Linked DNA regions of Stegostoma tigrinum. The protein of the gene in region 1 interacts with the protein of each later gene in a pairwise test. Links are inferred from orthologs where the notes say so. Each region holds a gene or a part of one and is shown in the gene's direction. Other genes may lie near its edges.

Region 1 (11,281 bases):
CTGTTGAGACAAAACTATGCAGGGTTGAGAGATGAGGAGGATCTGGTTAATCTGGACAGATTGAATGAATGAGCAAACACAAATCAAATGCAGTACTATATGGTTAAATGTGAGATTATGCACTTCAGTGTGAAAAATAGAAGGGCAAAGTATTATGTAAATCATGATATATTGGGAAATATGGATTATAAAAGGATCCGGGAGTCCTTGTACATTAACCAATGAAAGTAAGCAAGCAGGATCAGCAAGCAATTATCATGGTAAATAGTATATCAACCTTTATTGCAAGAGGATTTGAGTTCAGAAATAGGGATGTCTTCCTGCAGTTAAACAGGATCTTAGTAAGACCACATTTGGAGTATTGGGTGCAGTTTTCGGACTCCCTACCTAAGCAAGGATATATATGCCAAAGAAGGAAGGCTGCAAATGTTCACTAGACTGAAAACTGTGGTTGTTTTTGGACTGCCATAGGAGGACAGATTGGATTGATGAAGCCTTTATTCAGTAGAGTTTAGAAGGATATGAGGGGAGCTGATTGAAAAGTATAAAATTCTAACAAGGCTAGACAAACTAGATGCAGGGAGTGTGTTTCCCTTAACTGGGGAGCCAGAAACCAGGGGAAGTATGTTGATAGAATCAGAATATCAAAATAGTGTTATGGGGTGGTGATGCACTGCAGAATGACTCTCTTTATTTCCTCCTATACTTTGCTTCAATGGCACATATAGGTTTGAGATGAGGAGACTCTTCTTCCCCCAAGGGTGGTAAATCTGTGGAATTCACTTCCAGAGAAGGCTGTGGAGGCCAGGTCACTGAACATATCCAAAAAAACAGATTTTTAGATATTAGAGGCATCAAAGGATTTGGAAAGAAAATGGAAATATTTCTTCGAGTTAAGGGATCAACAATGATCATATTTCAATTGTAGAATAGGCTCAAGAGGCCAAATGGTCTATTCCTACTCCTAGTTTCTATGTTTCTGTAACACCAATTTTATTTTGTCAGTCTGCAAGTACGTGTATGGGGTGTTTATAAGAGAATAAGAGTTTTGACCAGTAAAGTGACATATTAAGAGTTCATAGTTGTTTACCTATAGCTCGAACCTTTTTATTTGCAATAAATTGTAATTCTTAAATATAGAAATCTGGTCAATTGTTAACCCATGTCTAAAGAGACAGGTAATTTAGGGAATTTTACATTTTTTAATAAAATTTTAAACTTTGGTAAAACCCCAGGAATAGCTTAAATTCCACTTCACTACTTCAGTGAGGTATGATAACTGACTGCCTAACTGCTCTTGAAGCAACATATTCTCAAAGTGATAAGCAGACTTATCTTCTGAAAATCTTTTCTCCTTGGTCAAAAAGACTTATTTCCCCATTGTCACCTTGAGGTAGTTATGCAATGATCCCACTTCTGATTATGAAGTTACAAGTTGTGGTACTGACCACTAGTTACTAGCTAGTAACCACCAATCTCTCTTTCTGTTCCTTTCTGAAAAAAAGGTTATAACAGGTTAAGCAGCCCATGCTGGGGCATTGTAACAGGAGCAAAATCAAGTTGTTGACAGAAACTTGTTGATAGAATCAGAATATCAAAATAGTGTTATGGGGTGGTGATGCACTGCAGAATGAGTCTCTTTATTTCCTCCTATACTTTGCTTCAAATATCAATCTGCTCAAAGATATTATTTCACATCTCTGGACTAGGTTGGGACTTGAACCTAATTTTCCTAGCTCAGACATCAGAACATTACCACTATGCCACAAGGGCTATCTGAGTGGCAGACAACAAGCCACTATTTAATCTTAATAAGAAATTCGTCTTACAAGTCAAGGTGTAGTTTATTGCATGAGAGCAATAGGTTCCAAGTTATATTACGCTGTTAGGCATAATTACAAAAAGTATCAGGAGCCAGAGTTGACACACCTATCTCCATCGGGACCTCATTTCAGGCTTTTTGTCTCCACCTAAAGACTGCTTGACATCATTGGATTGGATGCTGCTTGCTGCAGCTTTAACATTAACTGCTTCAGAATCATCTTACATAACTGGATGTATTGGACAATATTCCACATTGCTGACTAAGTGCTGATGTTGTAGTTGTATTGGAACAGCTTGGTTAGGATTGTAACTAGTTTTGGGGCACAGGTCTTCAGCTCTAAAGGCAGGATTTTTTAAAAAATTCACAACCTTGCTGTGTCCAGTCTGTTCAGCTATTTCTTGATACCATGTGACATGATACAAATTGGCTGAAGGTTGACTTTTATGATCTTGGAAACCTCAAAAGGAATCCAACATAGTCAACCCATTAGCTCTTCTCACTGAAAATGGTTGCAAAATCCTCAGCCTTCTCTTTGAATCTGTGCTCCCCAATTATTAAGGACAGAGATATTTATGGAGACTTCTTCTCCAAGTAGTTGTTTAATTTCCTACCACCAATCTTAATTCGATTTGGCAGAATTGAAATGTTTTGATTTGGCCCATTGATTGGGGAATCATTTAGCCCAACCAATAGCATGTTGCTTTTGCTATTTTGATGCACGTTGCCCAATGCAGTACGTTTACAAGGTTCTATTTCCCAAGAACCTTACACAGGATTATATATGAACAGTAGCACAGAAAGAAGTGTCATGAGGCCTGAATTGAGTAAAAGAACTCATCGGCCAATAGCCAAGAATGTGCACACCCTGGAAAGTCCACCTTCATCGGATTTGGAACAGTTAAATTGCTTAGCAACATCCAAATCAGAACCAATCAAAATAAACGTCTGGTTAAGAAGTCAACCGGTTTTAATGGAGGTTCATATCGGTGCAGCTGTATCAGTGATTGCAGAACTAGTCTTTGACAAAATTTGCTCTGGACCCTTAAATTTGCATAAGATCTCGACTGGACTGAGAACCTACACCAGGGAATCTTTACATATTAAGGTACAATTTCAGTTCCAGTCCCATATGGGAAGCAACTAGCTCAGTTAACAATGATTATAGTAAAAGGCTCAGTCCGAAGCCTGATGGGGAGAAATTGGTTGAGGAAGATTCACCTTGGTTGGCTCAACATTTTTGGATTGGAAAATGGCTGCCTGATTGAAGCCCTAATTAAATACTTGGAAGTTTTTCAGGGACGTCCAGAGACTATCAAAGGAGTCAAGGCCACCTTATATTTTGACCAGGAAACAATTCCATGATTCTGCAGGCACACCCAATGCTAATTGTCTTACGGGCAAAAGTAGAGGCAGAAATCATGAGGCTGGAAAGTGAAGGAATCATCAAACCAGTACAGTTTGCAGAATGGGCAGCACCGGTAGTACCGATTATGAAGCCCAATGGATCAGTGCACCTTGTGGAGATTTTAAACAAACAGTAAACTGCTTCTTGCACTGAATTAATACCCAATCCGTCACATAGAGGACTTATATTCCAAACTGGCTGGAAGCTGTCCTTAACAAAGCTGGGCAAGAACTGTGCAAACTTACAATTGCGGTTAGATGAGAATTCCCAGACATATGCTACAATTAATACCCATAAGGGTTTGTACTGATATACAAGATTTGGCGTACCTTCAGCCTGCACTATTTTTCAGTAGAGAATGGAGAACATTTTACAAAGTCTACTCCAAGTCGCCAATTATCTGGATGATGTGCTAATAACTGGGAAGACCAATAAAGAGTACTTAAAAAGAATTTGGACATATTGCTACAAATTTCTCCCAGGTGCCCAAATGCCTTAGAAGGAAAAAATTTGTATTCTAGACACTCTAAGTGACCTATTTGGGCTACTGACAAAACCGGGTTACACCCTTGGTAGATACTACGAGGGTAATCAAAGGCGGTCCGGCTTGCACATCTGTACTGGAGCTTAGGTCCTTGCTTAGATCCATAAATTATTACATAGTTGGATGTTATGTTGAGGTTGTACAGAATGTTGGTGAGGCTTCTTCTTGAGTATTGTATCCAGTTCTGGTCACCCTGTTACAGGAAGGATATTATTAAATAGGGGGGGGTTAAGAAGAGATTTACCAGAATGTTACCGGGAATGGAAAGTTTGAGTTATGAGGGGAAGTTGGATAAGCTGGGGCTTTTTTCACTGGGATTTATGAGGTTGAAGTGCAACCTTATTGAGGTTCATAAAATTATGAGGGGTATAGATAAGTCGAATGGCAGGTGTCTTTTCACTAGGACGTGGGATCTCAAGACCAGGGGCCATAATTTTAAATTGAGGGAAGAAAAACTTAAAAAAAGACATGGGGGCATTTTTTTTTTACAGGAAGTACTTCATATGTCCAATGGGCTTCCAGAGGAAGTGGTGGACGCGAGTACAGTTACAAGGTTTAAAACACATTTTGGTAAGTATGTAATTAGGAAATGTTTGGAGGAATATGGGACAAGTGCAAGGAGGTGGAACTAGTTTAGTTTGGGATCATGGTTGGCATAGACTGGTCAGATTGAAGGATCTGTTTCCGTGTTGTATGACCCTATGACTATATAAGTACTTCCTAAAGTTGAATGGCATTCGGCATATAAGAGTAGCTCCATGCCAGCCATCATCCAATAGTCTGGCAGAAAGAGCAGTCTAAACTCTAATGGAAGACTTCAAGGAACAGCTTACATCTTCACTCGATACCAAAATGTTCTGGTTCCTACTTGATTATCAGACCACGTCCCTCATGCAACTACAGGGATAGGTCCAGCAGAGTTGCTAACAGGGAGGAAACTCCACACCGGGTTAAACCTGATATTCCAAGACTTGGGGCATGGCAGGGGTGGGGGAGAAATGGCTGGACACAAGACTCCCCTCGGTAAGAGACAGCTTACTTCAGGGGATAAAGTTCGATGTAAGATTCACAGAAATGACCCTGCATGGGTAAGAGGCATGGCCAATGCAAGGTCTGGTCCCGTGACACACAAAGTTCAAGTAGGTGAGGTGGTCCTGAACAAGCATGTGGTCATCAATAAAGCTACAAACGCACAAATAGGTCAGCAAAAAATAACCAGCACCTCAGAGTAGCCAGAAAGGCTGTCTGGACCTGTGGGCTCTCCGTCTAAATCTAGCCTTGAAGAAGTCTTGGAGTCTGAGACGGACATGGTGGACGTTGCAGCCTCGATGCCTTTACCACCTGACACCCTGGGTGCAATAGGCGAGCTATGACCTGGAGCACACTGCCCGTATCTGATGCTGAGTCAGAGGAACTGGACTCTGTAGGAAAACACCCCAGTGCAGGGTACAAGAAAAAGAGCCTGCCTCCTTTCCCGGATTTAGATTTGATGTAGGAGTTGGATGTTATATTGAAATTAGGTCAGCCAGGCGGACTTCCTAGAATATGAGTTCCCTATCTGGTGCTTTTAATCTGCTCCAGTCAGGGAGCCCTGGCTGACAGCTACAAACAGGAGCATCAGAGGTTCTGTTCACTCTGACAGCTGGTTCTGTGGAATCCGGACCAGTTTGAAATACCATGCATGTGTAAATAAAGAGCAACTTGGTGATGAGATACCGGCCTCTGTGGAGTTAATTCAGTCTGTTTGGCTGTCTAGGGCTGAAGGTCTAGAATTCTCTGGCAAATGGTGTCTGTCTCTTCCTCTCCTCTTGCAAGACATTCCTTAAAACCTTGGGATGTGGCTAAACTTTTGATCAGCTGTCCACATTAAGTGGGCATAGCGTCAAACTTGGTTTGCAAACATCGTTGTATAAGGCTCTGGAATGCTTTCCAAAGGTGCCACAGAAACTCAAGTCGCTGTTGTTTGGCTTGTGTCCATTCCTTCTGCATGATAACACCCCTGCAAAGTGCCTTTGGACTATTTACTAATTCAAAGGTGCCACATGAAATAAGTTGTTGCAAAAGCTTGGAGTAACTTAACCTGCTGCTCTGATCGTGAAGCCCTGACATCAGAAGAAACCACTGTGACATCATTTGGCTTGATGAGAGTTGTTGCTGTGCTAACTTTTCTATAGTTGATGGTCCACTGAGTTTTTGAAAGGGGTGGGGGGAAGGTGTGTCCTTTGGGTGAAGTCTGGGGTTGGATGTGGAACAGGAAGGGTGTGTGCGTATGTCTGTTCAGCTTCTGTTGAGAGGAATTGCCTTAACTTTCCAACAACTACAAAGCAAGAGTAAAGTTTATCCCCTCTCTTCCTGGGAGGAAGGAGTCTGATGCCCCCAGGGAGGGTGCTCAGGGGGCTGGTTGGATGGGTTGGGGAGAGTTTGGGCAAAGAGGGAGGCGTGTCTGTGCTATTTAAATCAGCTCTTTGGTGCAGCTGAAGCCACCAATTGTGAGGGCAAGGCAATTGAAATGTAAATTCGCCTCTAAGTTAAATCCAAGTGCATGCGCAGTACGTCGAAACTGGGACTTAGACGTTGTACAGGGGGTTGGAGCAGTTCAATCTGAGCAGGTCTTTGGTGTGTATAGAACTCAACTCCTCACTAACTCCACAAAAAAACCCTATAGAATAATCAGAAAAGAAACATCCTCCAACAATGAGCGTTGATCACCTCTCCCAGGTAGGTGGAACGACCTTCCAGACCGTGCGTTTTATAAAACCCCGTGTCTTTTATTTCCCCCCCCCCAAAAAAACATATATTTGATGACTTGAAACTTGTGAAAAAAATTCATCTGTCTCTCACTTTGATGGTTCGTGGCCCTTTTGATTGTAAGGAAGCAAAGTACTAACGTGGATTTTTCCCCTTTTTTTCTTGTGTTCACAGCTCAATACGGATTCCCGCTTGAACGGTGAGTATTTGAGGTGAAAATTGCTTTTATTTAATTTGTTCGTTACCCCCTCATTACCCCCCCCCTCCCTCGACCACCACCTCCCTCGACCTTTCCCTCTCCTCCTGTTTTCTCTCTGAGGGAAGAACAAGAGGATCAGACATGGCGTCCAGAGACTAAGTCCCGTCTACGTGCCCACAAGCCCTATTGTTCAAATCAGCCTCCAAAATAACCGCCTTGCCGGCTCCCCAGCGAGCCCTTTCCCCCGCCGACCGCCTCCACTACACCCAGAGTCTGGCGTGAGGCTGCCCGAGGGCTGTTGGGGGTTTCGGCCGGGCCGGCATCGCGAGCGAAAAGCCGGCTTTTCGGCCGTTAGGACTTAGTCTCTGCGCCATTTTATTTTTTCTGACTGTGTGTGTGTCAGTTGCTTCGTGCATGTTGTTAAGAGCGAGGCTCCCTTCTCTTTTTTTTTAAATATATAAAACACACCGACAGCAATGTGCCGGGCATTTAAATAAGAAGGCAGGAGGAACGAGGAAGAAAGGTTTAGAATTCTGAGAGGTGGGGGGTCTAGAAGACACACAAAAGGGATGGCGGCAGAAATTGCAACTTGTTTTTTTCAATGCAGTTTGCATTTTATGCCTTTTTTATATGGGGGGGGGGTGATGGAGCAGCAATGCCTCTACTCACATGGTGGCAGCACCGTGAAGGTTATGATGTATTTTTATATATTTTTTAAAAGCAGTATTTTGTAAGATTCCCTTTTTTTAAGTTTGCATTGCATGGTTTTTTTCCCCCCTCTCTTGCCTGCCCCTAGGTTTTTTAAAAAAAGACTTTCTCGATTTGCGTTGAATTTTTTTATCTAGTTTGAGGTTTTCGATACTTCTGGAAGCTTTTTTTTACTAAGGAAAATAGGGGTTATCTGCTTAACCTTTTGAAAAAGAATCGGTGCTGGGATAATGATTGTCATGTCTTCAAATAAGAGATTGTAAGCATTGTCATGATTGTTCTGTGCAGTGGTGACATTGTTTCAGAAAATTTTCCATACCCTTTTAAGTTGTTTCCTTTCCCCAAAAAAAGCACTAGTCTTTCCCAAAGTCTACTCAGACTTACAGGGCATTGCTGGGTTGGTTCATGGGGAGAGGGTATTTTTAAATAGCTTTGTGATCAATTATATTCCATCTTGCAGCTCATCTACAGATATGCAATCGAGATCCTTTCTGTGTGAGGCTTAAAATTATTGTACTAATGTGTGATGATTTAAGATATTGATCCAGTTAAAAGTTTTCAGTTTTGAAAGATTGCAGTTCTAATGAGATCAAGGATGATGCAGGATGCAAAAAAATGGAAACATATATGTAATTTGAAGGATCTTAACATTTGTTGAAATACCCTTTTTCAATATACTATTCTTTGGCATTCAGAATGATTTACAAAGTCAGTTGGACTTTGCATTATCATTTTGAAGCATAAAAGGATCTATGAAATGTGCATTGAAGTATGACATCTTCCCTTTTAAGATTCAAATTGCCCAATAGCAACTGTGTTTTAATTTTTCAGCATGTTGAAGCCATTCTGTTAAATGACAAGCTGCTGTGCTAGCACACATGATTGAATGCTTGAAGAAGGAAGTGAGGTTTTGGGGAGGTGCAGTAATAGAGAATTGAGTTTAGTTGAAGAAACTGAGTATTTAAAATGAATGGACAGTGGAATGCTGTTGGATTTTTCCTTGGCAAGTTATACTGCTGTAGGATATTGATAAAGAATAAAACTAGAACTCTTTCAGAAAGAAACATTTAAAGTTTGATTCTGCTCATTGAGGTGCTGTGTCTTGGTGATGAATTGGATTTTACTCCAGATTTCATTTGAAGAACAAGGTGTGATTTGAGAAGCTGCTTGTCTGAATGCAAATATCACTGAATTTGAATGGCTGTTACATAGGGTACCGGTTAAGATTGTTTGCAATTTTTCTTTTGTCAAAGCAGTAACTCATAATATGGCTCCATATTTCTGATGCTTTTTGGTATTTTATACAACTATTCAGCCAGGTACGTTGAGCAAGGCATGTTCATTCCTTCCTTGAAGGCAAATTTGGGCACATTAGGGAGATCAGAAGCAGGAACTCTGAACTCTCTTCCAAGCTGAGCACCTGCTGTGGGATGAATTTTGTCTGTTCTGTATCCATTCTGTCTTTACCATAACTAATGTGGTAGACTAATATTTCTGGCTTTCAGCTGAAATTCCTCTCATGTTTTCTTCACTGACCAGTGATCTGCAGTGACAAAATCATTGCAAAAGCTGAGGCCATGTGGTTCCTTTATCTGGTAACCTTCCAATCATTCTTCTGCATTCTTGATTTCTTTTTTCCTAGAGCCCACGTCACTGGTAGTATTCATGGTCAACAGGTGGAAAGCACAGAATTCTGCATAGTCTATTGCAACTAACTTTTCTCGGACTTGAAAGCCCTTAAAGTACAACTCTCCTTCCTTTGAGTTACAGTCTCATGTTAAGTTGTGATTTCATGGGTATTGGGGATTTACACTCCAGTGGCCACTCTTTGTAAATGAGCCTGGATTCATGGGTAGTGCACAGCAAAAACTGATCTGACTAGAATATCATCCCAATTGGAATCACTAGATAATCTGTGAAATCTATTCAAATTCAGCTTAGGGGCTGTTCCCGTTGTTGCCTCCTCTACATCGGGGAAACCAAGCGGAGGCTTGGGGACCACTTTGCAGAACACCTATGCTCAGTTCGCAATAAACCTTCCAGTTGCGAACCACTTGAACTCCTCCCTCCCATTCCTCAGACGACATGTCCATCCTGGGCCTCGTGCAGTGCCACAATGATGCTACCCGAAGGTTGCAGGAACAGCAACTCCTATTCTGCTTGGGAACCCTGCAGCCCAATGGTGTCAATGTGGACTTCACAAACTTAAATCTCCCCCTCCCCCTACCACATCCCAAAACCAGCCCAGCTCACCCTCGTCCCCGCCTCCCTAACCTGTCCTTCGTCCCACCTATCCCCTCGTCCCACCTCAAGCCCCACCCCCATCTCTTACCTACTAATCTCATCCTGCCCCCTTGACCTGTCCGTCCTCCCTGGTCTGACCTATCTCCTCCCCATCGACACTCACCTTTGACTCCATCCCCACCTCTTTGACCTGTTTGTCTCCTCTCCACCTATCTCCTCCTCTATCATCTTCTATCCGCCTCTGCCTCTCTCCCTGTTTATTTCAGAACCTGCTCCCCCATTTCTGAAGAAGGGTCTAGGCCCGAAACGGCAGCCTTCCTGCTCCTGTGCTGCTTGGCCCGCTGTGTTCATCCAGCTCTCCACCTTGTTATCTAGGGGAAATAATATTGGCTATAATATTTGGAATTGTACTGGTTTGGCTCACTTAATGGAGCAAAGGCCAAAGATCAGTGAGATTCTACCTTGTTGGCTTTTTACAGCTCCTACCAGGCTGTCAACTTGGAAACTGTACTAAAGAGTGAAGTAACATATCATAAGGGTTTTTTCAGTTGTCTTTAAATCAGTGAGTCTTGCTGTAACATGATACCAGTGACCCTACTAGGAAGGGTGGTGTGAGATAACACTGTAGGGATTCTGTGATTCTTCTGCTACCATCCCTAAATGTTTGTTCTTGCTTCACAAGCCTGGGCTGCTAAATCATCATCATAACGCAGTCACTGCACATGTACAATTTCCAAATGGCTGGGGGTCACTGTCCATTATTCTGTGTTGAGAAATAGGATGAATCTACTTTGCTCAGATAAAATGAATCCAATGTAAGGCCAGAAATCACATCTGGGGGGGGGGTTTTCTTTTCTCAAAAAAATTAATTTGATATTAAGTCACTGCATTTGCACTGGTGAATTTGGTCATTTACCTAAGAGTGCTTTAAGCACTTATAGAAAATTCCACAGAGGAAACTTGGGGAATGATCGAATTGCTGGCCTAACATTTATTGTTAGGAAATTACTTATCTACAATTAAGCAGAGTGTGAATGAGCATCTTTTTAAGTTTTCAGTTGATCAAAGAACTGGTTTACGCCTGTAAAGACAAGGGCATGTCTGATATAACTGATTACCCTGTGAATGGTTTTCATTACTTCATCGAAAGTAATGTCTGCGCATGTTATTTACTACAGACCTCAACAAGATGTTTGATTTTATAAAGTCCCCCATAACAGACATTAGCTAAAGTTGAAGCCCATGAAACTGAGTACGGTGTATTGGCATAATTAGAATATTAGCTGAGCAGAAAGAAATGAAGCATAGATAGTGGCCTCCACTCTTGACAGGATGTGACCTTCGTGGATCTGTATTAGGGCCTGTAGTATTTGCCATATCCATAGCAACTTCAAAGATGGGATGCAAAGCCATTATTAAATTTTGTAGTGACTCATGATAGGCCACATTTATAAGCAGTGTAGGTGGAAATGTAAAATTAAAGATTGGTAAAGTGAATGGGTAAAACTCCTCTGGTAAATTGATCTTCAGTGTGCAGTCATCCACTGATGGAATGGGGTACAGGCAAATGTCACAAAAGTAGTGGTCCAAACAGATTTTGTAACCAAG
Region 2 (10,983 bases), on another chromosome or scaffold:
GACACTGATCTCGCTCTTTGTGCACCTTCTCTATAGCCGTAACATTGTATTCCTCGCCCCTATGCACTTTATATGGTATGATCTGCCTGCACTGCATGCAAAACAAAACTTTTCGCTGTACCTAGATACAAGTCACAGTAGTAAATCAGATTAAGAAAGAAAAGATGTCCATAAGATCATAAGTCATAGGAACAAAATTATACCATTCGGCCCATCATGTCTGCTCTGGCATTCATGCGGTCATACAGAAGGGAATCAGACCCTTCATTCCAACTAGCCCACACCGACAATGTTCCCAAACTAACCCAGTGTCATTTGCCTGCATTAGGCCCAAATCCCTCAAAAACCTTTTTATTCATGTACTTATCCAGATGTCTAAACATTGTAACATACCTGCATCCACCATTTTCTCTGGCAGTTCATTCCACACACAAACCACTTGCTCTCTAAAAAGGTTGCCTCTCCTGTCCTTCTTTTAAAATTTTTCTCCTCTCACCTTAAACATATGACACCTAGTTTTGAACATCCCCACCCTTGGGAAAAGACCCTCACAATTTTATAAAACTCAATAAAATCATCCCTCAACCTCCCATGCTATAGTGAAAAACTACCAGCCTTTCCAGTCTATTTTTATATCTCATTCCCAGCACTGTTCTGGTAAATCTTTTCTGAACCTGCTCCAGTTTATTAATATCCTTCCTATAACAGGGCAACCAGAACTGCACACAGGACTCCAAAAGAGGTCTCACTAATGTCCTGTATAACCTCAACATGACGTCATAACTCCTATACTCAACAGTCTGAGCAATGAAGGCAAACACGCTGAAAGGCCTTCTTAACCACTCTGTCTACCTGTGACATAAATTTCAAAGAATTTTGGACATGAACTCTTAGGTCTCTCAGTTCTACAACATTATCCAGTAAATTGCTTAAGTCCTGTCCTTATGTGTGTTATCAAAATGTAATACCTTGCATTTATCCAAATTGAACTCCATCTGCCAATCCTCAGCCTATTGACCCAATTGATCAAGATCTCCCAGTAATTTTAGATAACCTTTGTTACTGTCAACTACACCATATCTGGTGTCATCTGCAAACTTACTAACCATGCCTCCTACATTCTCATCTAATTCATATATATAAATGGCAAACAAAAGTGGACACAGTACTGATCCCTGTGGAACACCACAGATCACAGGGCTCCAGTTTGAGAAATAATTGTCCACCACCACCCTCTGCCTCTGACTGAAATCCCAGTTTTGTATCCAATTGGCAAGCTCACCCTGAATCCCAAGTGATCTAATTTTACTAATTAGTCTACCATTTGGAACTTTGTCAAAGGCTTTACTAAATTCCAAGTAAACATTGTCTACCGAATCTGCTGCCATCAATCTTCTTGGTTACTTTGTTAAAAAACTCAATCAATTGTGAGACACAATTCTCTTGGCATAAAACCATGCTGACTATCTCTAATCAATCATTATCTCTCCAAAATCATGTAAATCCTATCTTTCAGAATAACCTCCAACAACCTACCCACCACCATCAGCCTCAACTAGTCTATAGTTTCCAGACATCCCCTTGCAGCCTTTTTTAAACAATGGCACAACATTAACCACCCTCCAGTCCTCTGGCATCTCACTCACTTTTACAGATGATACAAATACTTCTGCTAGGGGCCCAACAATTTCCTCCCTAACTTCCCACAATGTGCGGGTATACAATAGATCAGGTTCTGGAAATTTATCTACCTTTATGTTATCTAAGACTTCCAGCACTTCCTATTCTGTCAATGTGAACTGTTTTCAAAACATCAATAATTATTTCCTTGAATTCTCTAGCCTCCATTTTTTTCTCAACAGTAAAAAACTGTCACAAAATATTCATTTAATATCTCTCCTATCTTCTGAGGCAACTTCATTGATCTTAGTCTCCCTAATTGCTCTCTTGCTCTCAATGTATTTGTTGAATTTTTAAAAATTATCCTTAATCTTATCTGCCAAGGTTATCTCATATCCTGTTTTTGTCTTCCCGATTTCCTTAAGAATGCCCCTCGCTTCAAGGGATCCAAGTTGTCTATATCTTGAATAGAAACTCAATATCTTTATTCGTCTTTTATTCCCTAATCTTGCCAGCTTCCTTTTCAATCTAAAAGAATGTAATGCCTCTGAACTGTCATTATCACTCTTCAAGGCCTTCCACTTGTCCTTTTATCTGTGAACAATCTACTCAAATGAACTTTTGCAACTTTTTCTTTTATACCCTTAAAGTTTTCCTTATCCAATTAAGAACTTTAACCCTTATGAAAGACTTATCCTTTTCCATAATTATGTTAAAACTAATAGTATTACGATCCCTTGTCCCAATGTGTTCCCCCTGGGCACTTCAGTCATTTGCCCTGCCTTATTTCCTAAGGGAAGCTGAAATTTTGCTCCTTCTCTAGTAGGAATACTTACCTATTCATAAGTAAACTATTCTTGAGCACAGTTAACAAATTCTTCATTACCCAAATCTTTAATACTATGGCAGTCCCAGTCAATGTTTGGAAAATTAAAATCCTCGACTATTACAACGTTATTCCTTGATAATAATACAAATCTGGATTCATTCGATCATAACTGATATGTTTCTCAATCCCATTCTCCTGCCTTCACCCCATAATCTTTGTTCTTTGAGAAGGTGACCAAACAGGTAGATGAGAGTAAACCGGTTGATGTGGTGTATATGGATTTCAGCAAGGCATTTGATAAGGTTCCCCACAATAAGCTATTGTACAAAATGTGGAGGAATGAGATTGTGGGAGATATAACAGTTTGGATCGGAAATTGGCTTGCTGAAAGAAGACAGGGTGGTAGTTGATGGGAAATGTTCGTCCAGGAGACCTGTTACTAGTGGTGTACCGCAAGGGTCGGTGTTGGGTCCACTGCTGTTTGTCATTTTTATAAATGACCTGGATGAGGGCGTAGAAGGATGGGTTAGTAAATTTGCAGACGACACTAAGGTTGGTGGAGTTGTGGATAGTGATGAAGGATGCTGTAGGTTGCAGAGAGACATAGATAAGCTGCAGAGCTGGGCTGAGAGGTCGCAAATGGAGTTTAATGCAGACAAGTGTGAGGTGATGCACTTTGGTAGGAGTAACCGGAAGGCAAAGTACTGGGCTAATGGTAAGATTCTTAGTAGTGTAGGTGAGCAGAGAGATCACGGTGTCCATGTACACAGATCCTTGAAAGTTTCCACCCAAGTTGAAAGGGCTGTTAAGAAGACATACAGTGTTTTAGCTTTTATTAATAGAGGGATCGAGTTCCGGAACCAAGAGGTTATGGTGATGCTGTACAAAACTCTGGTGCGGCTGCACTTGGAGTATTGCGTACAGTTCTGGTCACCGCATTATAAGAAGGATGTGGAAGCTTTGGAAAGGGTGCAGAGGAGATGTTGCCTGGTATGGAGGGAAGATCTTACGAGGAAAGGCTGAGGGACTTGAGGCTGTTTTAGTTAGAGAGAAGAAGGTTGAGAGGTGACTTAATAGAAACATATAAAATAATCAGAGGGTTAGATAGGGTGGATAGGGAGAGCCTTTTTCGTAGTATGGTGACGGCGAGCACGAGGGGGCATAGCTTTAAATTGAGGGGTGAAAGATATAGGACAGATGTCAGGGGTAGTTTCTTTACTCAGAGAGTAGTAAGGGAATGGAATGCTTTGCCTGCAACGGTAGTAGATTTGCCAACTTTAGGTACATTTAAGTCGTATTTGGATAAGCATATGGATGTACATGGAATAGTGTAGGTTAGATGGGCTTGAGATCGGTATGACAGGTCGGCACAACATCGAGGGCCAAAGGGCCTGTACTGTGCTGTAATGTTCTATGTTCTATTAATCCTTGATCCCCTTACCAAGCAAGAACCTATCTATCTCTTATATACACTCGAATATTTGGCCTCTACAGACTTCTGCAGCCATGAGTTCCTCAAAGTCTCCACCCTCTGGCTGAAGAAATTCTTCCTCATTTCAGTCGTGTGGAAGACTGTGGCAGAATTCAAATGACACCAGTTTATAGTCCAATAGGTTTATTTGGGATCACAAGTTTTCAGAGCATAGCCCCTTCATCAGGTGAAGTGAGAGAGATGCACACAGAGACACAATTCATAAGTAGTGAGGTCAAAAGATCATACAAATGGTGTGATGCATATTTGGAATAATAAGTCTCTGTACATGATCAAAAGTATCAAATGGTGTGAGTAAAGTGGCAACACCTGAATAACAAGGGATGATTCATAATCTGTTTAAATAAGATAGAGAGATAATTACAAAAAATTTAAAATAAGGCGGTGCTGGAGACAAACCAAATGACTGGAATAACGATAGCTATGAATCGCACGCTGGGGGTCTAACCAAAGTAATACGTGATCCAAAACTGTACAAACTAATTAAGATAGAGGGATGACAACAATTTATCAATATGATGGTGTCAAAACAGGACAGCTAGGAAGATCTTACAGATATAGAACAGTATGGTGGGGTCACATTGAGAGCCAAAGTCCTAAGATCACGGTTGAGGCTGTCTTCATGCATACAAGTTGGAGGCAGTTCAGGGAAGGTTTTCGAGATTATACCGGCAGTGGGATGGTTGTTTTATGAGGAAAGTTCGGACGGGCTAGGCTTGTATCTGGAATTTAGAAGAGGTCAATTGATGGAATCATACAAAATCTTGAGAGGTCTTGACAGGGTGGTATGGAGAGGATGAGCTGTTGTGGTACAGTGGTAGTGCAGAGCCAGGAGAACCAGGTTCCAGTTCCAGCTGTTCCAAAGGCACTTCGTAACATCTCTGATAATAAAATGTGAGGCTGGAGGAGGCTTGGGGACCACTTTGCAGAACACCTCCGCTCAGTTCGCAATAAACAACTGCACCTCCCAGTCGCAAACCATTTCCACTCCCCCTCCCATTCTTTAGATGACATGTCCATCATGGGCTTCCTGCAGTGCCACAATGATGCCACCCGAAGGTTGCAGGAACAGCAACTCATATTCCGCCTGGGAACCCTGCAGCCTAATGGTATCAATGTGGACTTCACCAGTTTCAAAATCTCCCCTTCCCCCACCGCATCCCTAAACCAGCCCAGTTCGTCCCCTCCCCCCACTGCACCACACAACCAGCCCAGCTCTTCCCCTCCACCCACTGCATCCCAAAACCAGTCCAACCTGTCTCTGCCTCCCTAACCTGTTCTTCCTCTCACCCATCCCTTCCTCCCACCCCAAGCCGCACTCCCATCTACCTACTAACCTCATCCCACCTCCTTGACCTGTCCGTCTTCCCTGGACTGACCTATCCCCTCCCTACCTCCCCACCTACACCCTCTCCACCTATCTTCTTTACTCTCCATCTTCGGTCCGCCTCCCCCTCTCTCCCTATTTATTCCAGTTCCCTCTCCCCATCCCCCTCTCTGATGAAGGGTCTAGGCCCCGAAACGTCAGCTTTTGTGCTCCTGAGATGCTGCTTGGCCTGCTGTGTTCATCCAGCCTCACATTTTATTATCTCGGATTCTCCAGCATCTGCAGTTCCCATTATCTGTGTGTGTGTATGTGTCTGGATTTATTTGACTGTGCATGTTTATGTGTGGGCTTGTGTATGTTGGTTCCTGTGTGTCAGTTTCTGTGTGTATTTACATGTCCGTCTGCATGTGTCTGGGTGTCTGTCTGTGTGAATATTTGTGTGTCAGTGCCTGACTGCATGCGCCTGGGTGTGATCTGTATCTTGAGTGTCTGTGTAGCTCTTTGTCTGGGTCAATGCCAGTGTGTGTCAGTGTCAGTGTCTGAGAGTGTGTACGGATGTCTGTCTCGGTGTGTGCGTGTGGGTTTCTATATGTACCTGGGACTCTGTTTACATGTCAGTGTCTGGATGTATATAAGTCTGTTTCTGGGATGTGTGTGTGTGTGTCTGGGAGTATGTGTGGGTTTTGTGCAGGGGTGTGTCTGTGTCAGTGTGTATGTCATTCTGGGTCTGTGTGTCACAGTGTATGTAAGGGTCTGCATCTGAGGGTGTGTGTCAGTGTATGGGGATGTGCATCTGGGGGTGTGTGTCAGTGAGTGTGTGTGGGTGTGTGTCTGGGGGTCTGCGTCAGTGAGAGTGCGTGTGTGTGTGCGCACATCTGGGGGTGTGTCAGTGAGTGTGTGGGTCTGCGTCTGGGGGTGTGTGTGTGTAGGTCTGCATCTGGGCGTGTGTGTCAGTGAGTGTGTGGGTCTGCGTCTGGTGGTGTGTGTGGGTCTGCATCTGGGTGTGTGTCAGTGAGTGTGTGGGTCTGCGTCTGGGGGTGTGTCAGTGAGCGTGTGGGTCTGTGTTGGGGGGTGTGTGTGGGATGTGTCTGGGGGTGCATGTCAGTGAGTGCGTGGGTCTGTGTCTGGGGGTGTGTGTGGGATGTGTCTGGGGGGTGCATGTCAGTGAGTTTGTGGGTCTGCGTCTGGGGGTGTGTGTCAGTGAGCGTGTGGGTCTGTGTCCGGGGGTGTGTGTCAGTGAGCGTGTGGGTCTGTGTTGGGGGGTGTGTGTGGGATGTGTCTGGGGGTGCATGTCAGTGAGTGCGTGGGTCTGTGTCTGGGGGTGCATGTCAGTGAGTGCGTGGCTCTGCGTCTGGGGGTGTGTGTCAGTGAGTGTGTGGGTCTGTGTCTGAGGGTGTGTCAGTGAGAATGTGGGTCTGTGTCTGGGGGTGTATGTCAGTGAGCGCGTGTCTGTGTCTGGGGGTGTGTGTAAGTGAGTGTGTGGGTCTGTGTCTGGGGGTGTCAGTAAGTGCGTGGGTCTGCATTTAGGGGAGTGTGTGTGGGCCTGTGTCTGAGGGTGTGTGTCACTGAGTGTGTGGGTCTGTGTCTGGGGGTGTCAGTGCGAATGTGGGTCTGCATTTAGGGGAGTGTGTGTGGGCCGGTGTGTGTCACTGAGTGTGTGGGTCTGTGTCTGGGGGTGTGTGTCAGTGAGTGCGTGGGTCTGCATTTAGGGGGGTGTGTGTGGGTCTGTGTCTGGGTGTTTGGTGCGGGTCTTAGCCGTGGCCCCACCCCGGGCTGCGCTGTGAAAATGGCTGAGGCGGAGGGTGAGGACACGGCGGCGGCGAGGACGCGGTTCAGGCCGGGAGAGAGCGGTGCTCGGGCGGTGGGCCCGGGGCCTCGGGCCCAGTTCCCGGCCCCGCCGCTGTATAACTGGCAGGCAGCACAGCGCTCGGTGCGGGAGCGCTTTTCCTTCATGTTCAACAACGAGCTGCTGAGCGACGTCCATTTCGCGGTCGGCAAAGGTCCCGGCGCCCGCCGCTTTCCCGCTCACCGCTTCGTCCTCGCCGTCGGCAGCGCCGTCTTCGACGCCATGTTTAACGGCGGCATGGCCACCAGCTCGGCGGAGATCGAGCTGCCTGACGTCGAACCCGCCGCCTTCCTGGCGCTGCTCAGGTGAGGGGAGCTACTCGAGCCCGGGGCTGCGGCCTACAAATAAATACTTGATAACAACTGCGATTCTCGCTGACGGATTGCGTCGATGCCAAGAATATTCCTAACGGAGGACTATATTATTTATTATAAATAACATCACTGTTTCTGTGTAAAGATGAAATGACAGCTGGGTGCAGTTTGTTTATTAATAGAATTATTGACGCGAGTGTCCCTAAATGCAGACAGTTTGTTGTCCTTTAACATTTATAACAATCTGAGTATCGCAGGCGCCAGGTCTCCTCGCAGATTGATGGGATTTCTCATTAAAACTGCCTCTGGTTAGTGTGACTGCTTTAAAAATAAATTATTCATTTATTTTCTTATTCAATAATTATTAACAGTAAACAAAGAGAGGGGCATCGTCCATAATTTACTTATTTTTACTGATTAAACCGGAGTGTCATGAAGATGAACTGCGGCCCTGGCGGTGCCCCGTCTCTTATTGTTAATCAGTGAATATTCCTCACACTAATGTTATTAATACCGCGGCGCCTACACAAATACAAAAGTCTCGTTACAGCTTCAGTGTGGCTCAGAATTTTATTTTAATATGGCTAAACCTTCGCTGTTATTGCAGGTGAAACATTACATGCTGTGTTCAGACTGGGGGCAGGATTCACTTCTTTGGGATATTATTGTCTCAACAAATTCCCGTGTTGATTGCATTGCTCAGTCTAATTTCAATGTTCACCCTTTGAATTATTAACATTATGTTCCAAGGTGTTTTTCTGAAAGGATGGTGTGGTTTAATTGTTCTGTTAGAGAGTGTTTGCACTTGGGTAGATCCAGTACATTTAGCAGTGACTAGACATTCTGCAATTTTTGTTTTCACTACGTAATAACTTTTTATGATAGTTTCAAAGCCACGTACAGAATGGAGAAAGGGACACGACTGAAGGTCAAACAAACCGTTTAGCAAACTCTCCCACATTGTGCTGGAATCTTTGGCAATTAAAGTTTAACCTACAGAATATTGTTCCAAGAAGCCCTGCAGAAAAATCTTTGTGGTTGTAGCAAAAATATTTTTTCAATTTTTCTTGGAGCAGTTTGTTCATTTAATAACGAAAAAGATTGAAGATGGATAATAAAATGTGAGGCTGGATGAACACAGCAGGCCAAGCAGCATCTCCTGAGATGCTGCTTGGCCTGCTGTGTTCATCCAGCCTCACATTTTATTATCTTGGAATCTCCAGCATCTGCAGTTCCCATTATCTCAGATTGAAGATGGAGATGGTTTAAGGCTGAATTGTTTAGATGCGTGAAGACAGAATTTTCAAGTCTTTGAGGAAAGTACACATAAATTAGTGAGACTTGCATTTCTAATGAGCCAAATAGCCTCATCCTGTATTTTATGATTCTCTGTGAGTGATTGTCAAAATTAATACAGTTGATTTGCAAATCCTGGTAATGGTGAGGATGATTGTGTTTGTTGGTTAATGAGGGTAGAGAGATTATGAACAGCTGCAGTTGGAAACCCAGTATTTAAAGGAGGCTTTTGTATATTAAGTCTGGCTGGAATAAGATAGTGAGCTTTAAAATGACGTGCAAATAGTTCCCCTTTTAAAACAAAAAAATCCAAGCATTTGCGTATTCAGGTTCATAACCTTTTGGAGATTGTTTACAATCTGTCTCTGAACTCCAAAAGACAAAGTGGGAGAAAGTTCTATTGAGGGTGAATCAGATACGTGTGAATGGGGATATTTTGTCTTCTCCATTTCAAACAAGTCTAGGTGAGGTAGAAATAAGAAATAACAAAGTGTGGAGCTGAATGAACACAGCAGGCCAAGCAGCATCTTAGGAGCACAAAAGCTGACGTTTCGGGCCTAGACCCTTCATCAGAAAAAAGATATAGAAAATGTAGTTTACTGTGGTTTGTAAAATTAAGGAAAAGGAGTGTAATACTTGCAGGGATCCTGGCAGATGAAGCAGTATTTGTGTTTGTAGGAGAATGTGGTATATGTCCCAGTCCTGTTTGGGGGTACTGGGTGTCAGTACTGAGTGAACAGTACTATTGGAGGACCAGTGCTGAATTGATTGTGGGGGAGGCTGTAGGGTACACAGTAGGGTTAGTAATTTAGGGGAGGTGTGGCACACTGGAGCTACCATCTGTCATCTGAAGAAGATGTACACGATTCAAAGGATGGGTATTATCAGTCGCTGGTGTCCAGGCCAAAATTTGTCCCTCGACAACAACAAAAGTAGACTCTCTCGAATTTGCAAGTGTTCATTTGTATGAACTTATGTGTATATTTGGTGACCATTTTCCTACATGTCTAGCAGTGACAGAACCTTTGTAGAGAGGAAGTTTGGGATGCCCTGAAGTTTTGAGAAGCCTGATAACAATGAAAATTATTTCTCTGCGCATCTATCCACGTTATGGTAGAGATTCTTTTATGTGTGTTATATGTAAATTGTTGTCACTGAGAGTCAAATCATGCACAGTTGTCTCTGACACACTTGCTCAGGACATTCAATATTGAGAAGTCCCTTCAATCACTCTTTTTCAGGAGGACAAATAGGTTTTTCCCGGAAATCAACAAGAGATTTTTCAGAAATAGGAGGAATCAGCTTCCTCCCAAATCTCTCGTCTTACATTCATACAGCACAGAAGAGGCACTTCAACCTGTTGAGTCGGTGCCAACCTATCTATGCTAATCCCACATTTTAGGAAGTGTCCACCAACTAATTCAGGATGAAAGTACACTCCATCCAGTCACTGTTCCAGTAACCCCAGCAGAATTTACAGACAAAAGTGATCATCTGTTATGTAATTTTTGGTAAGCCTTTTTTCGTTTTAAAAATCAGCACTCTTCACAGTGACCTTTCAACAATCTCTTTTATTTAAATAAATTGTTCCAGGTATTTTCTCACAATCAGATTTTTTTCTGCAATTGTTCAAAACTGAAGACCTCCAAGAAATCTTAAATGTGAAGAGTCTTGTCAATAAGCAGTGGAGAAATGGGTTTTGCATTTTAGGATAGCTGAATTTGTCGATTGCGGTCAACCATGGATTATTCTCCTTTACCTTTCTGTGCTGTTTTTCAATGAATTTGTATTGTTTTTATGCAGGTTTCTGTATTCTGATGAAGTACAAATTGGTCCTGAGACTGTGATGACGACTCTATACACAGCAAAGAAATATGCAGTACCAGCCTTGGAAGCCCATTGTGTGGAGTTTCTCACCAAACACCTGCGAGCTGACAATGCTTTCATGTTACTAACTCAGGTGATTTTTTATTATGGCTAGGCACAATAAGATACAGGAGCAGAAATAAGCCATTCAGCATGTTGAGTTTGCTCTGCCAATTAGTGAGATTGTGGCTGATCTGATAATCCTTACCTCCACTCTCCTGCCTTTTGCCCAGACCCTTGATTCCCTTGCTGAATAAAATTCTCTGCCTCACCCTTAAATATGTTTAATGATTGCATCATTAAGCCCTCTGGAATAAAGAATTCCATAGATTCATTACCCTCTGAGAGAAGAAATTCATCCTCAATGGTCTAAAATGGGTGACCCCTTATTCT
Region 3 (10,558 bases), on another chromosome or scaffold:
ACTACTTTCTCAAGGCCATCTAGAGATAGGCAATAAATGCTAGCCCAGGCAACAATGCCCAGATCCCAAGAATGAATGAAAACAATTTGGATAGGTCTGTCCAATAGATCAATCCATCCAGACAGCCTTTGATGTATATCCTATTTATCAGGAAATGTATATGAACATAAAACTTTTAAAGGTGCTAATATTATAATGTTTTTTTAAAAAGTAGCTCCAGGAAATGCAGCACTTGTCACTTTTAAATACAGTATGGGGTCAGAAAATAGAGATAACACAGCGTGGAGCTGCAGCAACACGGCAGGCCAGGCAACATCAGAGGAGCAGGCAATTTGACGTTTCAGGTTGGGACCTTTCTTCAGAAATGGGGCTAGGGCAGAGTAAAAGCATTGGTTGAGGTTGCAAAGAATGAAAAACAGGAGAGGTGCTTTGCAAGTCTGGGAGAGGGAGGCTCTGAGCTAGGGTAGGCTTGATAGTAGGGCCAGAAGATGCTGGCGCATTGCTAAGAGCGTGTGCTTCAGGAGCCACAGAGAAAACCCGTTTTTGGAGGGTCTGGATTTTGTGTATGTTGAGGTTGTCACGGTCAGGGCCAAATTGGGATGGCCCCAATGTAGACTGGAGTCCCCTGGGGCTGATCTGGTTCTGTAGGCAGGTACTGAGAAAGGCGATGTGGCTGCAGTATGTGGCCAAGCAATTTCAGAGATTACCAGAGGGTTGCAATGGGAGAGAGATTCACTGAAGTCTTTCAGGAGGGAGGAGGATAACCTCTTCAAGGTAGGCGTCCCTAGAAGAGGCTTCACAGTGGGGTTATAACTCACTCAGCGATAGTAAGAACTACCAATGCTGGGGTCACAGATAACACAATGTGAAGTTGGACAAGCACAGCAGGTCAGGCAGCATCAGAGGGGCAGGAAAGCTGACGTTTTGGGTCAGCACCCTTCTCCAGAAATGGGGCTCTCCAGTCAAAAAATATACATTTCCCCAAAACTAGAACTCCTGCTCCATCTAGTGTCCATTCTAAACAGCAATTTTCTTTTCTGCGTAGTCACATTGGGGCAAAAAAAGCCAGGCCGCGCTGACCGTTTACATTCTTACTAGACCTGGGCACTGAGCCAAGATAAATTAGGCCTTTAAGACTGTATGATTCTGCGTCTCTCAGTCTGGAAAAACTTTTAAAATAGGAGTGCCTCGTAATTTTGTTGTAAGATTAGATGATGTCGATCTTTTTAACAAAAGAAACATTGATACCTTTTTGTAACCTTTTATATCATATTTAAAGTAATATGTGTGAGAAATTTTGCATTTGGCATATTTTCCAATTTGAATTAGTTATCTCTGATTAGTTTCTTCTAATTAGTCATCATGAATTCTGAACAATGCTTCTTTAACACTTTGGAAGCAGCTAAATAGCTGCGTAAGACATTGAGTTAAAAGAACTCAAAGACTAGCACAAACTAAATTACTGGATGGTTTACCTGAACAGATCAATGATCTAAAATTAAGCAGGTTAGTTAAAAAAAGATAATGCATTTTTAAAATGTACAGTATTTTTTTAAAAAAGGAAAATAATGTCTGCTTTCCTCAGCTCATATCATGTCCACAACATATATTCAATATAAAACACTAACAGGTTCTGTAGTGTAGTGATAGTGAAACTGACCTACTAACTCACAGGTAGTGACTTCAAGTCCTATTTCAAACCATATAATTGAATTCAACTAAGTTTATAAAACCCAAAAGAACTACGGATGCTCTAAATCAGTTCCTGGAAAAGCTCAGCATGTCTGGCAGCATCAGTGGAGAGAAATCAAAATTAGCTTGGGTCCAGTGTTCTGAGGAAGGGTCACCGGACCCAAAACATTAACTCTGATTTCCCATCACAGATACTGCCAGACCTGCTGAGCTTTTCCAGCAGCTTCTGTTTTTGTATTAATTAAGTCAATGATTACTGGACTGACATCAGAAACTGATCAATAGAAAACCTCAACTGCTTCATTATGCTCTATGTACTAGTCTCTCGACCCTTCCATGGTAGAATTTCCACAGTGTTTTCCAAACTCTTGCTTTAATATTGACAGGACGTCTGATTGTCTCTTTTTGTGTCTTTCACCGAAGTTGGTCGCTACAGCAGAACCTCACAACTTCCCACCATCGCCATTACCATGTGAATTGGCAGAGCAAACATCCACGTGCCGAGAACAAATGTTAAAAAGTACAGATTTTACACGACATAGTGTTGAAAATTAAAGTCTGTCAGTGTGCAGTGTTAATATGACAACAATGGCTGACACTTGTGAGGACAGGAATGTTTATATCAGCATTTTTAAGCTAGAATATGACGTGGCCACAATGTTCATACATAGAGATATGAGAAATGAAATCATAACAATGTTTGACCTCTGCTGAAACTATCCCAACAAAGAAAATGTAATTGTGTATCATGTGCACAAGATTTTATATTTACAATACCTGGCATGTGCCATTTTTGTAGCTGGATGAGAGACGTAAGGTGCAATTCAGCGATTGGGTTAGACTATCCTCCCTAACCTTTATATGTAGAAGATGTACACAATGGGATCATTAAGCACAGAATCTACAGAGGTCTTCAAACATGAGATAGGGTCTATTAACAGACGCACATAAGGAAGGGGCAGGCTGAAGAAACTATTGCACATTGGATGGTCAATTTTACATGGCAATTGAAGGTTAAGCATTTGTTAAATTTAAACAAGATATTAGATAGATCAAGATATTAAACCGCCTAGCAGAAATTTGTTAACCACAAACTATTCAGGGGTATAGATTAAAATTGAGCATTTACAGTTAGTTCACAGATCAGCCATGATTTTATTAAATTACAGGACAGGACTAAATGGCCACTCCCACTCCTATACTGTGATTAATTACTACATTTTTCCTTTCCGCTAATGGCCACAGGCAGTTGTAAAAGAGCTGATGCCAGGTTTTCTGATCCTCAGCCGGTTGCACTAAAAGCTAACATTGCAGGGAAAGCCTGTCATCCATTGAAGTGTTTCAATTAAATGGATAACCTCCCAGTGAAAAATTGAGTCTGCAATGCAGGGAAAGACAAACTTGGAAACTGATAGCCTCAGTTTCATTTTTTTTCTGGTTTGTGGAACTTCCTGTTGATTTCCAATTTTCACTTGGCTAGTCCAATGTGTACCACATGTAATCAAACACACCTGAGAACTTCAGTAAAAATACCATGCTTAATATTGGATAAGACCCTAAGAAAAATGAGTAGGTCATTCAGTCAATTGAGTCCATTCCACCATTCAGTTAGATCATGGGATTAAAAATCTGGTTATCTCAGCCTTGATTAAATTAAACAATTCAGCCTTGACAGCCCTCTCTGGTAAGTTGAGAGAAAAATAATTCCTCATTTTCTCTGTCTTAAATGGGCACACCTTACGCTGAGATAATGCCTTTCTTGTCCTAGACATTCTCACAAGTGAACACAAACTGTCTGCAGCGACCCTATCTCATCCCCTAAGAATCTTAAACATTTCAGTAAAGTCTCCTTTCATTCTTCTAAATTCCAATGAACACAAGCCCAACCTACTCAACCTACCCTCACAAGAAAATTTTTTCATACCCAGGGTCAAGCTAGTAAACCTCCTCTGGACTGTCTCTGATGCCAACATATTTTTCCTTGGATAAAGGGACCAAAACTGTTCATTGTATTCCACAGGTCTGTGGTCTGGCTAGTCCCTTTTATAATTTTAGCAAACACTCCCTGTTTTTATATTTAATTCATCCTGAGTGGGGCAACATTCCATTTGAATGACAGAATCTTTACATCACAGAAAGAGACAGATCAGCCCATCAAGTTCACACTGACCTTCCAAACCACACAAACCCAGCCTCCCACCATATCCCTGTAACTCTGCATTTCCCATGGGTAATCCACCCAGCTTGCACACTCCTGGACAGCATGGGCCAAATTTAGCATGGCTAATCCACCTAACCTGCACATCTTTGGACTGTGACAGGAAGCTGGCAGAAACCCATGCAGATACAGGGAGAATGTGCAAACCTTGCACAGGCAATTGCTTCGGGCTAGAATCAAACCCAGGTCCCTGGCGCTGTGAGGCAGCAGTGCTAACCACTGAGCCACTGTGCTGCCCTATTGCCTTCCCTATTATCCACTGTACTTGGGTGCTAGCTTCTTCTTATTCATGCACTGGGACTCCCACATCCCTAAGTTGTTCAGCTATCTGCAGTCTATCTCCATTTAAATGATATTCACTTCTTCTATTTGTCCTGCCAATGTGCATAATCTCATTTCTTCCCAAATTATATTCCATCTAATAAGTTTTTGCTCATTCATTTACCTTGTCTAAATCCCTGCATATCTCACCACTTGCCTTCTCACCTACTTTTATGTCATCTGCAAACTTGGGTATAGTACAATCACTAGCATCATCCAAGTCATTAATATATTGTAAATAATTGTAGCCCCAGAACTGAACCCTGCCGCACTCTACTTCTTACAGGTTGCCATCCTGAAAATGTCCTCTCGATCACAACTGTCTTATCGGTTAGTTAACCAATCTACTATCCCTGCTAATACACTAGCCCCACCACCACGGGTTCTTACCTTATTAAGTGGCCCTATGTATGATACCTTAGTGAACGCTCTTTCAAAATCCAAAATGTAACAACTGGTTCCCCTTTATCTAGACTGCATGTTATTGTCTCAATGAACACAACCTATTGTTCCAGAAAACTATCACACATAGTTGCTATCATGGCTACTCCGCCAATTCAATTTTCCCAATCTACATGAAGATTGAGAGAAGATGAAGATTAAAGTCACCCATGATTAATGCCCTGCCTCTTTTTACATGGACTCATCATCTCCTGATTTATTCTTTGTGCTACAAAACAGCTAGTGTTCTGTTTTGTAATAACAAAGCTAGCCCACCACCCATACTTGTCTCTCTGTCTTTTCAAAAGGTCACAAGCCCCTGAATATTTAGACATCAGCATAAATCTCTTTGTAACCATGTGCCCATAATGGCTATAAAGTCATAACCATTAACCACTATTTGTGTCATTAATTCAATTATTTTGTGCTGCATACTTTGTATGTTTCAGACCCATTAATTTTGCCTTTTTACTGTGAATATCCTATCACACGAAGTAAATTACATTGAATGGCTGCATCAGTGAAGAGAGAAACAGAGTTAACATTTCATGTCCAGTATGAGTCTTCTTCCAACTCAACTTGTTAACTCTGATTGTTCCTTGATGGATGCTGCGAGACCTGGTGAGTTCCTTCAGCACTTTGTGTTTTATTTCAGATTTCCAGGATCTGCAATTTTTTGCATTTATTAAATCGACCACCAGTGGATTTACATATTATGATTTCATAAGAAGGGAGCTGTGAGCTCACTTATTTATCCTGTATATTAAAATGATAAAGATTTATGATTATTTATACTTAAATGGAATGCAGTTGATAGACATGATGTTAGAGTTGAATCAGAATCGAGTTAAACAGAACACTAGTGGAGTTATAAGCAATAATTTCGGTAGATGGAGTTGAGGGAACTTTCAACTTTTGAATAGATAAATATGGCTCATAATATTTATTTTTTATTGAAAAGAACAGACATAACAGAAGTAGATACACGAGTGTTGTTTACCTAATAGAAAAGAATATCAGTGGATAAATGATAATTTCAGCAAAGGGACCAAAATCATTTATCATTGCACATTCTAAAATAATAAATATGGTTAATTATTCTTTATTTGTGATTGAAAAGGGCAGAGATAATGGAGAGATTGGAGGGAGGTTGTGCTGACAGCAATGAGAATGGAATTATTGAGTATCAATAGATTTACAAGTAATGATTTCAGTAAATGGGGCTGAAGTCATTTATCATCCTACATATTGACATGATAAATATGGTTAGTTATTTATTATTTGTAATTAAAAGGGCACACCTAATCGAGAGATGTATAGAAAAAACTGTAACAACAGGAACAAGAATAGAATTATTGACTACCAGTGGATTTACAATTAATAATTAAGGTGGGGGGGGCAAAGTTATTTATCATCCCGTATATTAATATGGTGAATAAGATTAATAAATCATTATTTGTAATTAAAAGGGGCATAGATAACAGAGAAATGATAGGGATGCTGTAATAACAGCAACCAGTATAGAATTGTTGAGTACCAGTGGATTTACAAGTGCTAATTTTAGCAAAAGGAGATGGGGTTAGTTTTTTTTAAGGGGACATATGTATTTATGTTTGTGATTAAACTGGAGAAATATTCCAGAGGAGGGAGTTGTATTAAGTGGGGACTTTGATCTGGCTTTAAGGAGGGCCATGCTCTCAGCAGCTGCTGTTTGTAAACAGATGCCACTTCAAGATGGCGGCGGGAGGGAGCAACCTCAGCGCCTGTAACCGAGTCAACATCCCTAATGGCGGCGGCGGAGGTGGTGGCGGTGGATCGGGCAGCCCGAGCTTGGGCACCAGCTCCTCGCCGCCTTCCTCGCTGTCCGGCGGGGTCGGGCCGGGAGGAGGTGGAGGATCGGCGGCGGCGGCGGCAGCAGCAGCAGCGGCGGCCGCGGCTGTAGTCATTTGCCGGGAGCCCATGTACAACTGGCAGGCCACCAAGACGACGGTGAAGGAGCGCTTCGCCTTCCTGTTCAACAACGAGATCCTGAGCGACGTGCACTTCCTGGTGGGCAAGGGGATGGGGACGCAGCGGATCCCCGCTCACCGCTTCGTGTTGGCCGTCGGCAGCGCCGTCTTCGACGCCATGTTCAACGGCGGCATGGCCACCACCTCCACCGAGATCGAGCTGCCCGACGTCGAGCCCGCCGCCTTCCTTGCCCTCCTTAAGTGAGTGCGGCCTGAGGGGAGGGGAGGGGCGGTTATTCATCAAACTTACGCCGTGGTTTGAGGCCTATCTAGATCTTCTCCGCTCCAAGACGGATGCCGGCCCGTCCTTTAGTACTGGAGAAGTCTTATTTTATTTTCTTTTATTGCCCCCCCCCCCCCCGGCATATTTACGGCGTTTCCCTCCCCGCGTGTTTAAAGATGTTATCAAAGTATTATGTTTAAACTCGCAGTCGGGAAGGCGCAGTCTGAGTTTTTATAAGATGGTTCACGCCCTTTTTGTTGGTGTTTTGCGGTGGGGGAGGCTGGACTTTTGTAGCCTCGGGGCTTCATTCATAGTCAGCGGAAGGTTGCAGCTGCGCTGATCCAGTTGGTGGTGATGCCTTCTTGAGTAAATGGGGACTAGCTTAAGACAGACTTGTCCTTTGTAAGGTACTAAAATTGCATCGCATCGCATCGCTTTCGGGTTTTCGGGGAGACGAGGTTATGTTTTGCGCCTATGATGCAGCTGTACGTCTGGGTATTTCGTTTTTGGTTTGTGGACCTTGAAAGGGTCTCATTTTCAGTGCTCATTACGCCGACAGAATGAAGGCAAGATGGCTAATGCACCGCAGAGTATTGAAAGCTTTTGCACCTCTTCAGTCAGAAGACTAATCAAACTACATTCCTGTGAAAAGCTCAATATCTGCTTTACGCTTGGATTTTAGCAAGTGTCAGCAACATTTTTTTTATTTTAAAGGGGGCAGAGATTTCTGCTTATTGCCCCACCCAGTTGTTTTTCCACTGATGCATTAATATTTGGAATTAAAAATCTAATTGCTTCCAGATTTCTGTTAACCCCCCCCTCACCCTTTAAGTTGTAGCTCACAAATTTTAGGTGACAAGTCTGTTTAAGCTGCCTGTTTTTAACGCAGCTGATACAAAATGCACATCATAACTCTTGCCAAACATGTGAGTTTTACAGTCTTTTTTTTTCTCGCTGTTGGTGCGCATCATCAAGTGAGATATTGTGCAATGATGCACAACTTGACATTATAGAGCCCTTACTGTCTTTGAAAAGTGACATTTTGGACTATCAAATCTGTACAGCTTTCTTGCTTAAACCATTGGTTATTTGGTCCCAGGCTTTCAAAGTTATTTTTACAATATCTGTTGTCTGTGGTGCTGGAATGGTGGCATTAATCACATGAGGGCTTGTATGTAATACATGTAATTTTTTTTGTCTGAGCTGTGGCATTGTGTTGCTAGGTTGTTCTGCAGTTGAACCTGATCTTGCCTAATGTTGATGCACGCTTTCTAGTAGTGTACTATTAAATAGTCAGCTGGAACTGAAATGCCAGATAATGCATCCTAACCAGTGAAGGGAGAGGAGGGCAGCGGTTAACCTGAAAAAGAACCCCTGTGACTTTTTCATTTTCTAATCACTTAACAATACATGGGAGATGGTAGCATGGTGGTAACTAATGCTCTGGGGAACTTGTTTCAGTCTACAGCAACTGGTGGAAATTAAATTTCACTTGAGTTGAAATCCAGACTCGTTCAGGTGAGTGTGACACCATTGGAAAAGTCCTGAATGGGTCACTTCCTTCTACCGTTTTTACCTGCTCTGGCTTCCTTGCGGATTTTGTGGCATTATTCTTAAAATTGTAACCATATTTGTATAACTGATCCCTGTTAGGAGAAATAAAAGAATGCTTTGAAGTTACAAGTGAGTTCTTGGTCAACCACAATGTTCTGCCCTCTTGTTCGGAAAGCGGTGACGTACACCAGGATATAATTCATGTGAGCACTATCCTCGTCGGGGCACAGCATAAGCTCCTGTTTCCAGTTGTGAATTAGATTAGGCCTGATTGGGTGAAAATGTAAAAAACATTTTATTTTCACCCAGTGTCTATGCAGCTATTATTTGATGACTACTATTAATCTAGTCACTGTTCTGACAGAATTCAGCTCAGATCAGCAGTTGAGTTCCGAGGAAGGGTAACTGGACCCAAAACGTTAACTCTGATTTTTTTTTCACAGATGTTGCCAGACCTGCTGAGCTTTTCCGGCAACTTCCATTTTTATCCTAGCAATTAAGTAGTTTCTCTTCAGTGTAGCTCATCACTACATAGCACATTTACCCATCAAACCACTGTTTTAAGAGTTTGTTAGCTCAGACAGTTGGTTTGCGATGATGTGATATCAGTTGCACTGGCTCAACCCTTACACTTGCTGAGGTTACTTTGAAGGACTGTCCTTCTCAACTTCTCCCCTTACCTGAGGCATGGTGACCCTCTGGTTAAATCGCCTGCAGATGTGTATCTCTGATGAGAGATCAAACTGACAGCCCAATCAGACTATGGTGACACTTTTTTCTTTAATCCTTGTGGAATGCGTGGGAATTTTCTGCAAAGGCCTTGAAATTTTGTGTCTTTTTTTATTGTAAACTAAGTTGGCTTTGATTGTGGTACATATAGAACACCTCTGCCCAGCAAATTCATATCTTCGTTTATTGTTCCATGTGGTTGTTAGATTCAGCAAAAAACACACGTGGTACATCTTTTTTATGAAATGTAAAGATTCTTTGAAAGATGGTAGACTTTAAATTCAGTGGTCCTTTTTTCAAGTGGATGAGCCATTTTTGATTTATAACATGTAACTCCTTTATTCCAGCATTCTCAGATCAGGCAACTTCTAGTCTATCATCTGCAGTACGATTCCAGTTTTTGGCTTGGTCTTCTCGTTAAAAGAACCGTATTCATATTTAAAGCTACAAAGTGATGATCTTGGATGCAAGTCAAACAATATTTGTTCTGGTGCAAACTTATCAGTATACAAAACAAGCCTGTAAGTTGAGCAGCTATTGCTAATAGTAAAACTGTTTATACTAAACTTAGCTGCAGCAAATACTTAATTAATCATATTCAAAGTTTTCATCTCACCACCCTGTTCCTGTTTATATGGATTGTTTTCTCCAGCAGCTATCTCACTTGGCTCCGATCTCCCTCAACTAGGATTAAACAAAACCAAGACGATTGGATTTTGTTGGATCTTGTTTTGTTAGATTTGTTTTTTTTTTCTCCCAACATTGAATGAGGGCTACAGAAATAGAAGTAGCCCACTTGGCTCCTTGAGCCTGCTCCAACATTTAGTAAGATCATGTCTGTTCTAACATTCCTCATGTCCACTTTCCTGCCTATGCTCCTGATTCCACTAGTGATCAAGAATCTATCTATCTCATCCTGAAATATGTTCCAAGGATTCTGCTCCCACAACTCTTCGTGGCAAGGAGTTCCAAAGAGCCTAAACCCTCAGAAGAAATTCTTCCTCCAGTTAGTCTTCAACCAATGCCCCTTTATTCTGAGACTATGCTGTCTGGAAACATTCTCTTAGCATTTATCCTGTCCAGCTTCCTAAAAATATTTGGTACTATGTCTCGGGTACAAGTACCCCCAAGCCCCTTTGTATTGCAGCTTTCTACCATTTTTCTGCATTTAAATTGTTCTGTTCTTTTGTTTTTCCTTTCAAAATGAACACCTTCACAATTCCCCACATCATAGTGCATTTGCCAACTTTTTGTCCTCTTACATAACCTACCAATATTTCTGTAAAAACTGTTCATATCCTTCACAACCTGCCTTTCCACCGAGCTAGTAAAATGATTGCAACCTATGCAAGGCCTCTTGATTTTATAATT

What was found.
Region 2: the proteins of top1a (region 1) and BTB/POZ domain-containing protein 1-like interact in a two-hybrid assay, tested with the Homo sapiens proteins (2 studies listed by BioGRID). The link is inferred for Stegostoma tigrinum from reciprocal best matches to the Homo sapiens genes TOP1 and BTBD1.
Region 3: the proteins of top1a (region 1) and BTB/POZ domain-containing protein 2-like interact in a two-hybrid assay, tested with the Homo sapiens proteins (2 studies listed by BioGRID). The link is inferred for Stegostoma tigrinum from reciprocal best matches to the Homo sapiens genes TOP1 and BTBD2.

What each region holds. Positions count from the first base shown.
Region 1 is NC_081372.1:14,188,022-14,199,302, reverse strand, and holds the start of top1a (DNA topoisomerase I, like), read left to right. Parts: upstream 1-6,342; 5' UTR 6,343-6,468; coding exon 6,469-6,492; intron 6,493-6,696; coding exon 6,697-6,721; intron 6,722-11,281. UniProt on the Homo sapiens protein: Releases the supercoiling and torsional tension of DNA introduced during the DNA replication and transcription by transiently cleaving and rejoining one strand of the DNA duplex.
Region 2 is NC_081386.1:35,808,932-35,819,914, forward strand, and holds the start of BTB/POZ domain-containing protein 1-like, read left to right. Parts: upstream 1-6,584; 5' UTR 6,585-7,054; coding exon 7,055-7,419; intron 7,420-10,527; coding exon 10,528-10,684; intron 10,685-10,983.
Region 3 is NC_081383.1:17,875,839-17,886,396, reverse strand, and holds the start of BTB/POZ domain-containing protein 2-like, read left to right. Parts: upstream 1-6,208; 5' UTR 6,209-6,406; coding exon 6,407-6,882; intron 6,883-10,558.